Macaca fascicularis: one gene and its partners. The protein of the gene in region 3 binds, or shares a complex with, the protein of the main gene of each other region. Links are inferred from orthologs where the notes say so. Each region holds a gene or a part of one and is shown on either strand. Other genes may lie near its edges.

Region 1 (3,979 bases), about 86 Mb from region 3:
CGCCTGGTCATTTTCCTGGACTTTCATGCCAGAATAGGTAACTTTCTTCCTGCTCTCAAAATATTTTGTTTCATTAACAGTCTCTTGTGTGTCAGTTGTGGCAGAACTGCCTTGCTTATCTTTGAATCCTTAGCTGCCACCAACAGAGAGCCTTTGTAGGTACCATAAAAACGTTAATGAGAATGACGGAAGAGAACAAGAGGGCCAGGCTCACTTCTTGCCTAGAATTTAGTAAAGTTCATGGTTACATAAGCCAGAGGGCACGTCAAGAAAGGGGTGACTTAACAGAATCAATGTGGCAAAGAACGTGGGGGAAAAAAAGGCTATTGGATTTGGTCTACTGAAAAGTCTTTAAACTCAGATTAAATGTGAAAATCAAGTTTGGAAGGACTGAGAATGAGAAAAAAATTGAAATACAAACTCCTTATGAGATGACTGTTTACAGACATCTGTAGGAACAGAACAAAATGGAACATTTACTGTCTCCATTTACTCATTTTAACTTTGTTTTGTATTATGTAAGACATCTATATTGTTCCAAATGAAAAACACATTAACACAGTATACTGAGAGAATCCAACTTCCCTCAATATCCCCTCCCTCACCAGTGTTATCAATTTCCATTAGTATTTGGTTTACCCTTTTTTTTTTTTTTGAGTTGGAGTCTCGCTCTGTCGCCCAGGCTGGAATGCAATGGCACGATCTCAGCTCACTGCAGCCTCCAACTCCCAGATTCAAGCGATTCTCCTGCCTCAGCCTCCTGAGTAGCTGGTTTACCCATTTTTAAAAACGTTAAGTAAATAGAAAATATATATGCCACCCTTAGAGAAGGTAGCACACTATACACATTATTTTTCTTCACTTGGAGATCTCTCCACAGCAGTATGTAGAGATCATCCCCATTCCTTTTTACAGCTGCACAGTACTCTGTTGCATGAATTTATCAGTTTATTCAACCCGTCCCTTTACTGATGGAGATGTGAGTTGTTTCCAATCTACTGCCATTATAACGGTGCTGCAATAAATTGCTTAGTGCATGTTACTTCATTTTTGCCAGACATCTCCAGGTACATCTGTTCTCACTTTAAAACAATAATCTGGCTGGGCGAGGTGACTCACATCTGTAATCCCAGCCCTTTGGGAGGCTGAGGCAGAGGGATCGCTTGAACCCAGGAGTTCAAAACCAGTCTGGGCAACATGGCAAAACCTCACCTCTACAAAAAATACAAAAATTAGCTGGGTGTGATGGCATACACCTGTGATCCCAGCTACTTGGGAGGCTTTGGTGGGAGAATCACCTGAGCCTGGGAGGTTGGGGGTGCAGTGAGCTGTGATCATGCCACCGCACTCCAGCCTAGGCAACAGAGCAAGACCATGTCTCCAAAAAAAAAAAGAAAAAAGAAAAAAACACGATGATCCTACACTATAGATATTGGGTCCCCCTATCTTCCAAACTAGAAGATAAGCTCTATGTAAGGAAACAATTACTCTAGTGCACAGCAGAGCTCAGCAACTGCAACAGTACATTACAGAACAAGCCTTTAAAATGTGGAGTGAGCACCCTTGCTCCTACTCCTACCTTACCATTCTTTTCATGATACTCTGACATCTCTTCTTAAAGAAAAAAGTTACTGTTGTCAAGGAAAACACCACAAATAAACAAGCAGTTTAGTTTTATTTTCTCTGTGCATTTGCAAAATACTCAGGACCAACATAAAAAAGAAATACCTCCTGTGGAAAAAATTACATTAAAAAGGGGAATGGGCTGGGGGTGCTAAAAGGGATTAGTACCTTAGCCCCAAGGAGCTACAGCATCTCTGATTGGTCCAAGGAATAGAAAAGATATTGGGAAGATGTAACAGGAGGAAGGAAAAATGTGAATTTACTGAGGGAGAGGGCCTCGAAGTGGACCTCGAGGGGGAACTGGTGGCCGGGGAGTGGGTCTGGGTGGAGGGAGAGGCCCCCGCTGGTAGCCATAGGGTGGGGGTCGTGGAGGGCCAGTGTATCCATGCGGGGGCATCAGTGGAGGAGGTCCACGCATACCATGCGGAGGCATAGGACCTGGGTGACCTGCAAGGAGTAAAAGAAAAGTTAGTAAGGGCACGGGACAAGGGATGTGCCTACAGGAAGCTGTAAGAACATGATAGGTGCAGATGAGGGAGGTGGCTAGAGACGACTTACCCATGGGAGATCCGAATGGAGGCCCTCGGGGGGGCATACCCATTGGAGGAGGTCCAGGATGAGGCATTCCAGGTGGTGGTCGGGGTGGTGGCTGCCCCCCAGAGCCTGGGGGTCCAGCGTGGGGATGTCCTAAGCCATGAGGGCCATGGTGTGCCAGCTGCATCTGAGACATCCCTATGAAAATAAAACAGACACAAGAAGAAAAGAGACAAAGAGAAGGCAAAGAAAATAGAGAAAAGAACAAAATTAGAAAGAAAGTGACATCAGAAAGAGAACTATACAGAAAAAAGGGTACAGAAAATAAGGCTGGCTGGGCACAGTGGCTCATGCCAATAATCCCAGCACTTCGGGAGGCCTAAGTGGATCACTTGAGCCCAGGAGTTCAAGACCAGCCTGGGCAACACAGTGAGAACCCATCTCTATCAAAAAATACTTTTAATTAGCCAGGCATGGTGGTGTGTGCCTGTAGTCCCAGGTACTCAGGAGGCTGAGATGGGAGGATCAAGGCTACAATAAGCCAAAACTACACTACTGCACTCCAGCCTGAGTGAAAGAGTGAGACCCCATCACCAAACAAACAAACAAACAAACAAAAAAAGAAGAGTGGTAAAAAGTGCTCCCTATCCTTGACCCTATTCCAACAGCACAAACCAACCAATTACTCAATCAACTCCTTACGCTCGCTTCTCCCATGATTTAGGTACTGTAATAGTAATGCTGAAGTATATAACAAGTGGAGTAATGACTCTGTTGATAGGATTTGAGAAAGTAGCAGAGAACATACTGTCTAAGCCAAGATCTAATTCTAAAGGATGAATGCTTCAGGAGGGTAAGATCATGGGAAGAAAGCATCCCAAGCAGAAAGATTACAGGTGTGTCAAACAGCACAATATATTCCAGGAAATGCCAGTTAACTCAGTAATCAGGAGCAAAATGCAGTTACAGAAATGAGGGGCAGGGGCCAGCTCATAAAGAGCTGTGAATGCTATGGTAATGAGTTTGAGTTTTACTCTGTAGGTAAAAGGGAGCAACAGAGTCATTTTGAGCAAGTGTGTGCACATCTGTGTTTTAAAAAACCTACTCTGTGAAAGTAGATCGAAGTTAGGGAAAACTGGAGTCCAAGTGGAAGGAGATTACTACAATAAATTAAGTGTTAAATAATGAGGGAATGAGAGACTGAACTAGGGCACTGGCCATGGGGAGAGATGCCACTGATATTAAATAAGACTTGGTATTAAGAGTGGGGTGATAGGGAGCAGTCAAACATCACTCTCAGATTCATGAATTAAGCACCTGAAAAAAAAGACTGCTAGAGAAAGAATGGGTTTGAAGGAGAGGGACAGAAAAATGACGCTATCTATTAAGCAGCAGCATTAAAGCATTAAGGATCCGGAATGTCAACAGCTATGGACTAGAGATACAGATCTAGGAGGCATCAGTATATGCCCAATTAAAACTATAGATATATGCAGAAAAGAGAAACAAGCACAAAAATCTAGGCACAAGTAGACAAGAGTCTATCATGGTAGCTGAGATTAAGGAGTCAGAGGGGTGGAGGATCTAGAAAAGCAAAAGCAAAAAGAGACGAGAATTTCAAACAGGAGGACACGACTAGTTTCAAGTACATCAGAGGTCAAACTAGATAAGGAGCAGACGTGTCCCTGAGATTTGGCAATTAGGTCACCACTTTGAGCTGGAGTCAGAGAAGAGAATGGAACTAAAGGTTAAAGAAATAAAAACCAGCAAGTATAGTCTTCTTGTCAGAAAAACTTAAGAAATGGATACAGGGAGGTGGATG
Region 2 (5,353 bases), on a different chromosome or scaffold from region 3:
GGGAAAAAGAGCCAAATAGCTTTTAATATAGTGCAAATATATGCCTAACTCTCAGAGTTACATTCCTTACAGAAGCTAGCAAAATAGAAAGCTGGTTCTTGTTTGGTAAGTCAAGAAATGAGAATCCTCTACTCCTGCTCCTCTCAAAACTCAAGGGCTGGTGCGGTGGCTCACGCCTGTAAACCCAGGACTTTGGGAGGCCAAGGCGGGCGGATCATGAGGTCAGGAGTTAAGAGACCAGCCTGGCCAACATGGTAAAACCCTGTCTCTACTAAAGATACAAAAAATTAGCCAGGCGTGGCAGCGTGCATCTATAATCCCAGCTACGTGGGAAGCTGAGGCAGGAGAATCACTTGAACCCGGGAGGTGGAGGTTGCAGTGAGCCGAGATTGCACCACTGCACTCCAGCCTGGGCAACAGGGCGAGACTCCATCTCGGAAAAAAAAAAAAAGGGGCATAATTCTGAAGCTGGAATTGGGGTAACACTAGTCCTAATAAAGGTAAGATTTTAAAACTCAATGCCCACCACCCCACCAATGCCCCCGCCCTTGACATGTGAGCTAGATCTCAGCACCAACGCCAGCACACTTACCTTATTCTCGCATTTTCGGAGTAACTTCTTCTTTCCCAGGTCATAGACACGCAACAGCTTCCCCACACCAATCAACACCCTCCCTTGGAATGGGGCAATGGCAGCAGGGACCTCTTCCACCGGAGTCTATAGAGGAAAAGCACGTAATACAGCTATTACAAATGCCAGCCAGACACAGGCCCCACCTCTCCGCCTAGAAATGTCTTCTTTCACAGGAGCCTATCATTAAGAAACACACCAGTGATCTTATTTTGCTAATGAATCAGCGTGTTGGGGTGAACAGGTCCCACATGCTGCATTCACCCAGCAGAGGGATCAATGCTACAAGTGACAAGAAGTTCTGGTACCTGATGACAGCTGCCCAGAGCCTGTGCTTGGTTTAACTGGCCTCATGAAATAATAGTGAAGCCTTAGTAGCTAAGAAGTGACTGTAATTTGTGGAGGGACAGGAAAGAAATGCTAGTGGAAAATGACATTTTTTTTTTTTTTTTGGAGACAGGATCTCACTGTCGCTCAAGCTGGAGGGCTGTGGCAGGCGTAATCACGGCTCACTATAGCCTGGACTTCCTGGGCTCAGGTGATCCTCCCACCTCAGCCTCCCGAGTAGCTGGGACTACAGGCATGTGCCATCACGCCCAACTAATTATCTGTATTTTCTGTAGAAACTGAGTTTCACCACATTGTCCAGGCTGGTCTCAAACTCTTGGGCTCAAGTGATCTGCTCGACTCAGACTCCCAAAATGCTGGGATTACAAGCGTGAGCCACTGCACCCAGCCTAGTGACATCTCAGTTGTAAAGGAGAGACAAATTTTATACGCAAAAGGGTCTATGAAGTATTTCTTAGAGGATACTCCCCTTATGGTAGGGTTGAAGGAATCCACATGCTGTCAGTGTGGAGGAGAATATTATTTTTATTTTAATAATTATGGTAAAACAGACATAACATAAAGTTTACCATCTTAATCCTTTTTTTTTTGAGACAGAGTCTCACTCTGTCGCCCAGGCTGGAGTGCAGTGGCGCAATCTCAGCACAGTACAACCTCTGCCTCCCAGGTTCAAGCAATTCTCCTGCCTTAACCTCTGGAGTAGCTGGGGTTACAGGCGCCCACCACCATGCCTGGCTGATTTTTTATTTTTAATAGAGATGGGATTTCACCACATTGACCAGACTGGTCTTGAACCCCTGACCTCAGGTGATCCGCCCACCTCGGCCTTCCAAAGTGCTGGGATTACAGGAATGAGTCACCATGCCCAGTCATTTTTAAGTATACACTTCAGTGGCATTAAGCACATTTACTGTTGTGTAACTATCATCTCCAGCTTTTTTTTCATCTTCCCAAACTGAAACTCTGTACCCATTAAACAGTAACTTCCCAGAGAAGGCAGATGGAAAAGAACACTAAATCTTTTTTTTTTTTTTTTTTGACAGTCTCACTGTGCCAACCAGGCTAGAGTGCAATGGTACAATCTCAGCTCACTGCAACCTCCGCCTCCCGGGTTCAAGTGATTCTCCTGCCTCAGCCTCCCAAGTAGATGGGATAACAGGTACATGCCACCATGCCTGGCTGATTTTTATATTTTTAGTAGAGACGGGCTTTCATCATGTTGGTCGGGCGGGTCCCAAAGTGCTGGGATTACAGGTGTGAGCCACCGCACACAGCCAGAATATTAATTATTTAAACTGCTGAATTTTGGTCACAAATTGTTGCCCACTTATTAAAACAGTAAGAAAGGGACTGATTCAATGTGCATCCATCTCCCCATTATGGGTGGTTAGCACAAAGCCTTACTGTGGAATGCACAGGCACAAGAGCATCACCGCAGCTAGAAGGCCCCAGGATTTTCCATGTGCTGGTAAGAGATGGATTGGAATCAAGGAGCTGGTCCCCAAAAGACCTGACCCATAACATAAGCAAAAGTAAGAGAATTCAATAGGACTTAAGATCTAGGAGAACCACTCACTGGCTGATTCCTACCTTGTGCAAAAACTCCAGTTTTTCCCCATTGTTCACAAGCTTGTAAGTATAGACGAAGCCCCCTGCCACAGATCGGGGGTTCAGTATCAGGTCCTTGGCCACACCCACCAGCACATACCAGTCTTCACCAGTGTTGGAGAACCTGCACACAGCCACACTACACACAGAGTAAGAGGCAAGAGTAAGGCCTTCGTCAAAACCCAGAGAGCTCCTGTTCCAGGCTACCAAACCCTGAACTGTCCTGGGCTCCTTACCTAAAAGCTGCCTCATTCTGTTCCAGCTGGACAAGGTCCAGTGTGTTCCCCTGAATGGGATTCATCACTCGGATCACAGAGGCCCACTGCCCATTGCCAGCCTTGGGAGCTCCAAAGATAGATTCAGGGAGGTTTTCATTGAGGAATGCTGCTGCCATCTCTGCGGCCAGCTCCCGCTCATCCTCCCCTGCTGCTTCCACCATTTCCTAAACCCAAAAAACCAAACAACTGAGTTGGCATGTTCAGAGGTAGGGGCTGGCTGAGAAGAGGATAGGTAGCAAGAACACTCCAAGGGGTTTTTTCTTTTTTTTTTTTTTTGAGAAGGAGTCTCGCTCTGTTGCCCAGGCTGGAGTGCAGTGGCCGGATCTCAGCTCACTGCAAGCTCCGCCTCCCGGGTTCACGCCATTCTCCTGCCTCAGCCTCCCGTGTAGCTGGGACTACAGGTGCCCGCCACCTCACCCAGATAGGTTTTTTTTTGTATTTTTTAGTAGAGATGGGTTTTCACCCGTGTTAGCCAGGATGGTCTCGATCTCTTGACCTCGTGATCCGCCCATCTCGGCCTCCCAAAGTGCTGGGATTACAGGCTTGAGCCACCGCGCCCGGCCAGAAACTCCATTTTTTAATCCAACCCATCTGATTTCCCCTACTAAGACTACTCTGTCTCCACTCTTTAAGGCTGGATACAGTTCTATGTGGTTTAGCTATTTGGTTTTTGCTAGGCAATGAGTTCTAGAAAGAGCTGGTATTGTGGAGAACATGAAAGCTGTCTCCTTTGGGCCCAAATCCAGGAAATACAGTCTATTTTGGAAGCTCAAAGACTGGAGAATTCTGTTTCAGAGAGGGAACTTAATTGTGAATAAATGGAGGTCAGAGTATAGTCCTGGGTTACAAGAAAGGCTCTAACATGAAGTATTTTGGGGCAAAGGCCTCTGCTTAAAGAAGCTGAAAAGAGCCTAGATCTTTAAAAACAAAGAATATAACAACAATTACAGGAGTTTAAACTTTTGACAGAGTCTCATGTCCAGAGTGCCACTGGTATGCAGTGGAGTGTGCCAACATACCAGGAGTGCACCAACACACCAGGCTATCTTTCAAAATTTTTAATAGAGGTGCGGTTTTGCTATGTTGCCCAGGCCGGTCTCAAACTAGCAATCCTCCCATCTCAGCCTCCAAAAGTGCTGAGCAGTTTAAACTTTTCAACATAATTTCACAAATCTTTTAACAGAACCCCTGAACGTTAGTCTCATTACCTCTGCCATCTGCTGCTTTCTCTGAGCTTTTGTGGCCTCAGTGTAGGCATTGTGGTCCGTTTCAATGATAATAAGGTTGTTACTCTCAGGGTGGATGACAAATTTCCTGGGTGTGTACTGCAGTGGGAAGGCTACTTGATTGAAGACAGCACCGAGCTTCTCTAATGCCAAAATGCTATGACAGAAAAGCAAGGCAGTTACTTAATACTCACTCAGGACCTAGAAATTGGTGGTGAAATAGGCTTTGAGCAGTCAGTAAACACATCAATCCCTGAAGCTCTAACGCTGGCATTAGGCAACATTAAACAACAGCCTCCTAATCTAGAAAACTGCACTGCAGACAGAGAGATCCGGGAAGGGCCTTCCCATTTGGCAACACCCTACCACAATTCATGGCAATTCTAGTTCTCACCAATGAAACACAAACGATTGTCAAGATTTTTTTTTAATCACTCTAATGATAATAAAGCGCCCAATCCCAAATTTGTTGTGAACACTGCAATTACCTGAACATATATGGTATCTGTAGTGACTGTGCTTCATAAAATAAAGTGGATGCCTTTGTGAATAAAAATCACCTCAGTTTTGGAAAACTTTGACAATGCAAGAGACAGCAAATAGGGGACCTACAAATTTCTGTCAAATTGAACAGAGATGCACACATAAGCCAAACTATGTGCAAAACGGGCAGAACCCAGGTACCCTAAAAAATATAGTTACCTGATCTCTAATGATGGAGTTTTATTTGTAGTTTATTCTCTACATTAAAAAAGATACGAGCTGGGCACAGTGGCTCACGACTGTAATCTCAGCACTTTGGGAGGCCGAAGCGGGCAGATCACCTAAGGCTAGGAGTTCAAGACCAGCCTGGGCAACATGGGGAAACACCAACTCTATTGAAAATACCCAAAAAAAAGCTGAGTATGGTGGCACGCACCTGTAGTTCCAGCTACTTGGGGGGCTGAGGTGGGAGAATCTCTTGAGTTCAGGAGCTCAAGACCAGCCTGGGCACCAAGGTAAAATCCTGTCTCTATTTAAAAAACCACAAAAATTAGCCGGGCATGATGGCATGCGCTTATAGTCCCACCAGGTACTTGGGAGGTTGAGGCAGAAATAGCTTGAGTCCAGGAAGTTGGGGCTGCAGGGAGCCATGATCACACCACTGCACTCCAACCTGTACAACAGAGCAAGACTTTGTCTCAAAAAAATAAATTTAAAAATAAAAATAATTTTAAAAATGAACTGCCCCCAAGCACTATGCTTTTATGTCTCAGTCATCT
Region 3 (5,353 bases):
TTTTAATGAAATCTTGTATTTTGAGAGGTAATTAAGACCTTAGTATTTAGCATCATTTTATGAGAATAAAAGGAGGTGGGAAAGGTCAGAATCAAAATGACATGTTGGGAAAAATGTCCATTCTAAGTTCATTTAAAAATGAATATTGGCTGGGCACGGTGGCTCACACCTGTAATCCCAGCACTTTGGGAGGCCAAGACAGGCAGATCACCTGAGGTCAGGAGTTCGCGACCAGCCTGACCAATGTGGAGAAACACTGTCTCTATTAAAAATACAAAATTAGGCCGGGCGTGGTGGTTCACGCCTGTAATCCCAACACTTTGGGAGGCTGAGGTGGGCAGATCACAAAGTCAGGAGATCGAGACCGTCCCTGGCTAACACGGTGAAACCCCATCCCTACTAAAAATGCAAAAAATTAGCCAGGCGTGGTGGCAGGCACCTGTGGTCCCAGCTACTTGGGAGGCTGAGGCAGGAGAATGGCGTGAACCCGGGAGGTGGAGCTTGCAGTGAGCTGAGATCGCGCCACTGCACTCCAGCTTGGGCGACTGAGGGACTCCGTCTCAAAAAAAAAAAAAAATGCAAAATTAGCGGGGCACGGTGGCTCACACCTGTAATCCCAGCACTTTGGGAGGCTGAGGCGGGCGGATCACGAGATCAGGAGATCGAGACCATCTGGCTAACACGGTGAAACCCCATCTCTACTAAAAATACAAAAAAATTAGCCGGGCGTGGTGGCGGGCGCCTGTAGTCCTAGCTACTTGGAAGACTGAGGCAGGAGAATGGCGTGCACCTGGGAGGCGGAGCTTGCAGTGAGCCGAGATTGTGCCACTGCATTCCAGCCTGGGCAACAGAGCGAGACTCCGTCTCAAAAAAAAAAAAAAAAAAAATTAGCCGGGCGTGGTGGCGCATGCCTGTAATCCCAGCTACTCGGGAGGCTGAGGCAGGAAAATCACTTGAACCCGGGAGGTTGTGGTGAGCTGAGATTGTGCCGTTGCACTCCAGCCTGGGCAAGAAGAACGAAAGTCCGTTTCACAAAAAAAAAGCATTAAAAAGATAGCATTACTAGAATTATAAGTACTATATATTCTACAGGGAATAACAAGATAGCAAAAATAGAAACCCTTTTTGCTTTCTCTGCATTGTATGTTCCTCTGTAGATACCTAGAGATGCTGCTCGAGTACCTTCAGGACTACACAGATAGAGTGAAGCCTCTCCAAGATCAGAATGAACTTTTTGGGAAGATTCAGGCTGAGTTTGAGAAGAAATGGGAGAATGGAACCTTTCCTGGATGGCCGGTGAGCTTCAGTGGGGTGTGAATGATGGACATGCCAAGGAATTGAAGTAATTATTTTCCTTTATCTTGAGCTTCCACTTTAGGGCATTAGGTATCAATTCCTTGGTATCACTTGTGACAATGAGGTATTCCCTGCCAAGTATGCTATGTTTTTTTGTTTGTTTGTTTTTCTTTTTCTTTTTTTTGGAGATGGAGTTTCGCTCTTGTTGCCCAGGCTGGAGTACAATGGCAGGATCTCGGCTCACCTCAACCTCCACCTCCTGCGTCAAGCAATTCTCCTGCCTCAGCCTCTCGAGTAGCTGGTATTACAGGCACCCGCTACCACACCCAGCTAATTTTGTGTTTTTAGTGGAGACGGGGTTTCTCCATGTTTGTCAGACTGGTCTCAAACTCCTGAGCTCAGGTGATCTGCCCACTTCAGCCTCCCAAAGTGCTGGGATTACAGGCATGAGCCACCGCACCCGGCCGTATGTGAGGTTTTTTTGTGTGTACTTTGGAGCAAGACTGTCAGGGTCCACTTGCCTTTGACTGTGCCCAGATTTTCACCAATCACATCATTACTGTTACGTGGTTCCTGCCAACCAAGAGCCTATCAGATCATATGTTAGGAATCTACATTCTCACTTCTGGGGATAAACATGGGTTTTTCCTGAACTCTCCAGGGAGAGAATGTGGACCAACCTTACCTTCATCCTAAACCTGGTGGTTTGTTTGTTTGTTTTGTTTTGCTTTGTTTTGTTTTTTGGGAGACAAAGTCTCCATCTGGCTTCTAGTCTGGAGTGTAGTGGCATGATCATACCTCACTGCTGCAGCCTCAACTTCCTGGGCTTAAGAGATCTTCCTGCCTTGGACTCCTGAGTAGCTGGGACCACAGGCACATGCCACCATGCCCAGCTAATTCATGTGTTTTTTTTGTAGAGATGGGATTTCACCATGTTGCTCTGACTGGTCTCTAACTCTTGAACTCAAGCAATTCACCCATCTAGACCTCCCAAAGTGCTGAGATTACAGGTGTGAGCCACCACGCCTGGCCTAAACCTGGATCTTAATAAATACCATATTGTTCTTTCCAGAAAGAGACAAGCAGTGCACGCCTGGCCTAAACCTGGATCTTAATAAATACCATATTGTTCTTTCCAGAAAGAGACAAGCAGTGCTCTGACCCATGCTGGAGCCCATCTTGACCTCTCTGCATTCTCCTCCTGGGAGGTATGTTTCCTTCAGCAGTAGTACTGTTCTTCCTGTCTATTTTTCTATCTTTAAAGACTGCTCTGCTGTCTTTAATACCATGGTTGTGTTGTGATAAGGCACTATTTCTTGGGATCAAGCATCTACAAAGAAAGTAGCAAAGTAAAAAGAAAAAAATTACTACATGGGAAACTGAAATAATCATTCTAACTACATTAAGCTGTAGTAAAGTAAATGGAACACTACCAGTATGGTTAAGTCTGAAGATAATTACAGATTCAGTCCTCTGGAGAGTTTAGACTTACTGTCAGATTGGCTATGAAATGTGTGGTCCTGCCACAGCCTCAGGAACACCCACCCTCTGGCCTGCATTTGGGGTTTCCCAAAAATCTGTTAATGTAATATTGTAATTTTTCTCTTCTTTGTACAGGAGTTGGCCTCTCTGGGTTTGGACAGATTGAAATCTGCTCTCTTAGCTTTAGGCTTGAAATGTGGCGGGTAAGGAATGGTTTTTCTATCAAAACTATTCAATTTGCTGTGTGTTTGCACAGTCTTCTAAGTAGCTCTAATTCCATTTTTTTTCTGTTGCTCCACACTGCAAAAACAAGCGAGCCTCTGTGGTAAAGTAACCCTGAAATCCTTTGCCATCCTGTCTCCTTAGGACCCTAGAAGAGCGAGCCCAGAGACTCTTCAGCACCAAAGGAAAGTCCCTGGAGTCACTTGATACCTCTTTGTTTGCCAAAAATCCCAAGTCAAAGGGCACCAAGCGGTGAGTGGCTGGGGTAGCACTGCTGCTTGTGGCTTTTAAATGTTATTCCCATGCCGAATTTTTAACCACAGTGGAGACTTTAAAGCCTGCTTTATCCCCGTTATTGGTCGACAGAGATCCAGTCTGCTCTTTCTCTTTGCTAATAGAGAATACTATCACTGTTAATATAAACAAAGGACTGTCTGTATTCATCTGATTGAGAGCACATCAAGTTTCTAAGTTTGAAACCGTGTTCTTGGCACCTTTAATAGGTTATAGAGGCTAAAAGGCTAAATAGGTTCAAGAACTATTTTTCTAAGCTTATTTTTGGTAAAGTTGAATCTAATTCTTGAGCTACATACTTAGACAAGGTATTTTCTTTTTTTTTTTTTTTTTTTTTTGAGACAGAGTCTCACTCTGTCGCCCAGGCTGGAGTGCAGTGGCCGGATCTCAGCTCACTGCAAGCTCCGCCTCCCGGGTTTACGCCATTCTCGTGCCTCAGCCTCCCGAGTAGCTGGGACTACAGGCGCCCGCCACCTCGCCCGGCTAGTTTTTTGTATTTTTTAGTAGAGATGGGGTTTCACCGTGTTCGCCAGGATGGTCTCGATCTCCTGACCTCGTGATCCACCCGTCTCGGCCTCCCAAAGTGCTGGGATTACAGGCTTGAGCCACCGCGCCCGGCCTAGACAAGGTATTTTCTTTTTTTTTTTTTTTTTTTTTGAGACAGAGTCTCACTCTGTCACCCAAACTGGAGTGCAGTGGTGCAATCTCAGCTTACTGGCTGGAACCTCCACCTCCTGGGTTCAAAGGATTTTCCTGCCTCAGCCTCCTGAGTAGCTGGGACTACAGGTACACACCACCACATATGGCTGATTTTTTGTATTGTTAGTAGAGATGGGGGTTCATCATGTTGGCCAGGCTGGTCTGCAGCTCCTGAGCTTAAGTGATCCACCCGCCTTGGCCTCCCAAAGTGCTGGGATTATAGGTGTGAGCCACTGCGCCTGACCCAGGGTGGTTTTTTTTTTTTCTTTTTGAGATGGAGTCTCGCTCTGTTGCCCAGGCTGGAGTGCAGTGGCACAATCTCGGCTCACTGCAACCTCTGCCTTCTGGGTTCAAGCGATTCTCTTGCCTCAGCCTCCCGAGTAGCTGGGATTACAGATACGCAACACCACACTGGCTAATTTTTGTGTGTTTTTTGTTTTTTTGTTTGAGACAGAGTCTTGCTTTGTCGCCCAGGTTGGAGTGCAGTGGCGCAATCTCAGCTCGCTGCAACCTCCACCTCCCTGGTTCAAGCGATTCTCTTGCCTCACTCTTCCAAGTAGGTGGGATTACCAACATGCGCCACCATGCCTGGCTAGTTTTTGTATTTTTAGTAGAGACGGGGTTTCACCATGTTGGCCAGGCTGGTCATGAACTCCTGACCTCACGTGATCCAACCGCCTCAGCCTCCCAAAGTGGTGGGATTACAGGCGTGAGCTACCGCGCCTAGCTAATTTTTGTATTTTTAGTAGAGAGGGTTTCACCGTGTTGGTGAGGCTAGTCACAAACTCCCAACGTCAAGTGATCGCCAGCCTCATCCTCCCAAAATGCTGGGATTACAGGCATGAGCCACCGTGTCTGGCCCAGTATTTTCTTAATGTACTTTTTTTTCTAATTCTCACAACAACCCAGAAAATTAGTTGTTATCCTGAGTTTTTGCAGATAAGGACTCAGAAAAGTTATGGAATGTGTCCACTCTCATAGTTCTAAGTAGCAGAGTCAGGATTTGGGCCTAGGTCTACCTGCTGCAGAGCTTGCTCTTACATACCACATTTCCTTTGTAGATTATAATGATGGCAATGTAAGCAGTCTTGATATGTCCTTCATCTTCTAGGTGAGGTCATAGAGGAAGCCTCCATGCATTCTGAGAAATACCCTCAGTATTTGTCAATAGAGTCCTGAGATGAACAGAGCATTTGCTTTCATAGCATAGTATTTCTCATGTGCTTATAATTTTTAATGCAGTTGTGCAATAAATGTTCCCAGATAAGGGAACAAAGCAATGGATGAGAGAATTCTTGAGTGATACAGCTTGTTTCTTTTTCTCAGAGACACTGAGAGGAACAAAGACATTGCTTTTCTA

Evidence for each region. Proteins that work in one complex are often made in the same cells at the same time.
Region 1: SF3A3 (region 3) and SF3B4 share a complex: the UniProt entries of both Homo sapiens proteins name them as parts of the 17S U2 SnRNP complex. The link is inferred for Macaca fascicularis from reciprocal best matches to the Homo sapiens genes SF3A3 and SF3B4.
Region 2: SF3A3 (region 3) and SF3B3 share a complex: the UniProt entries of both Homo sapiens proteins name them as parts of the 17S U2 SnRNP complex. The link is inferred for Macaca fascicularis from reciprocal best matches to the Homo sapiens genes SF3A3 and SF3B3.

The regions. Positions count from the first base shown.
Region 1 is NC_088375.1:111,355,522-111,359,500, reverse strand, and holds the end of SF3B4 (splicing factor 3B subunit 4), read right to left. Parts: intron 2,356-3,979; coding exon 2,182-2,355; intron 2,071-2,181; coding exon 1,883-2,070; 3' UTR 1,657-1,882; downstream 1-1,656. UniProt on the Homo sapiens protein: Component of the 17S U2 SnRNP complex of the spliceosome, a large ribonucleoprotein complex that removes introns from transcribed pre-mRNAs.
Region 2 is NC_088394.1:69,773,211-69,778,563, forward strand, and holds part of SF3B3 (splicing factor 3B subunit 3), read right to left. Parts: intron 4,249-5,353; coding exon 4,074-4,248; intron 3,030-4,073; coding exon 2,824-3,029; intron 2,727-2,823; coding exon 2,570-2,726; intron 719-2,569; coding exon 593-718; intron 1-592. UniProt on the Homo sapiens protein: Component of the 17S U2 SnRNP complex of the spliceosome, a large ribonucleoprotein complex that removes introns from transcribed pre-mRNAs.
Region 3 is NC_088375.1:196,935,684-196,941,036, forward strand, and holds part of SF3A3 (splicing factor 3A subunit 3), read left to right. Parts: intron 1-1,157; coding exon 1,158-1,296; intron 1,297-2,435; coding exon 2,436-2,504; intron 2,505-2,913; coding exon 2,914-2,981; intron 2,982-3,144; coding exon 3,145-3,252; intron 3,253-5,319; coding exon 5,320-5,353. UniProt on the Homo sapiens protein: Component of the 17S U2 SnRNP complex of the spliceosome, a large ribonucleoprotein complex that removes introns from transcribed pre-mRNAs.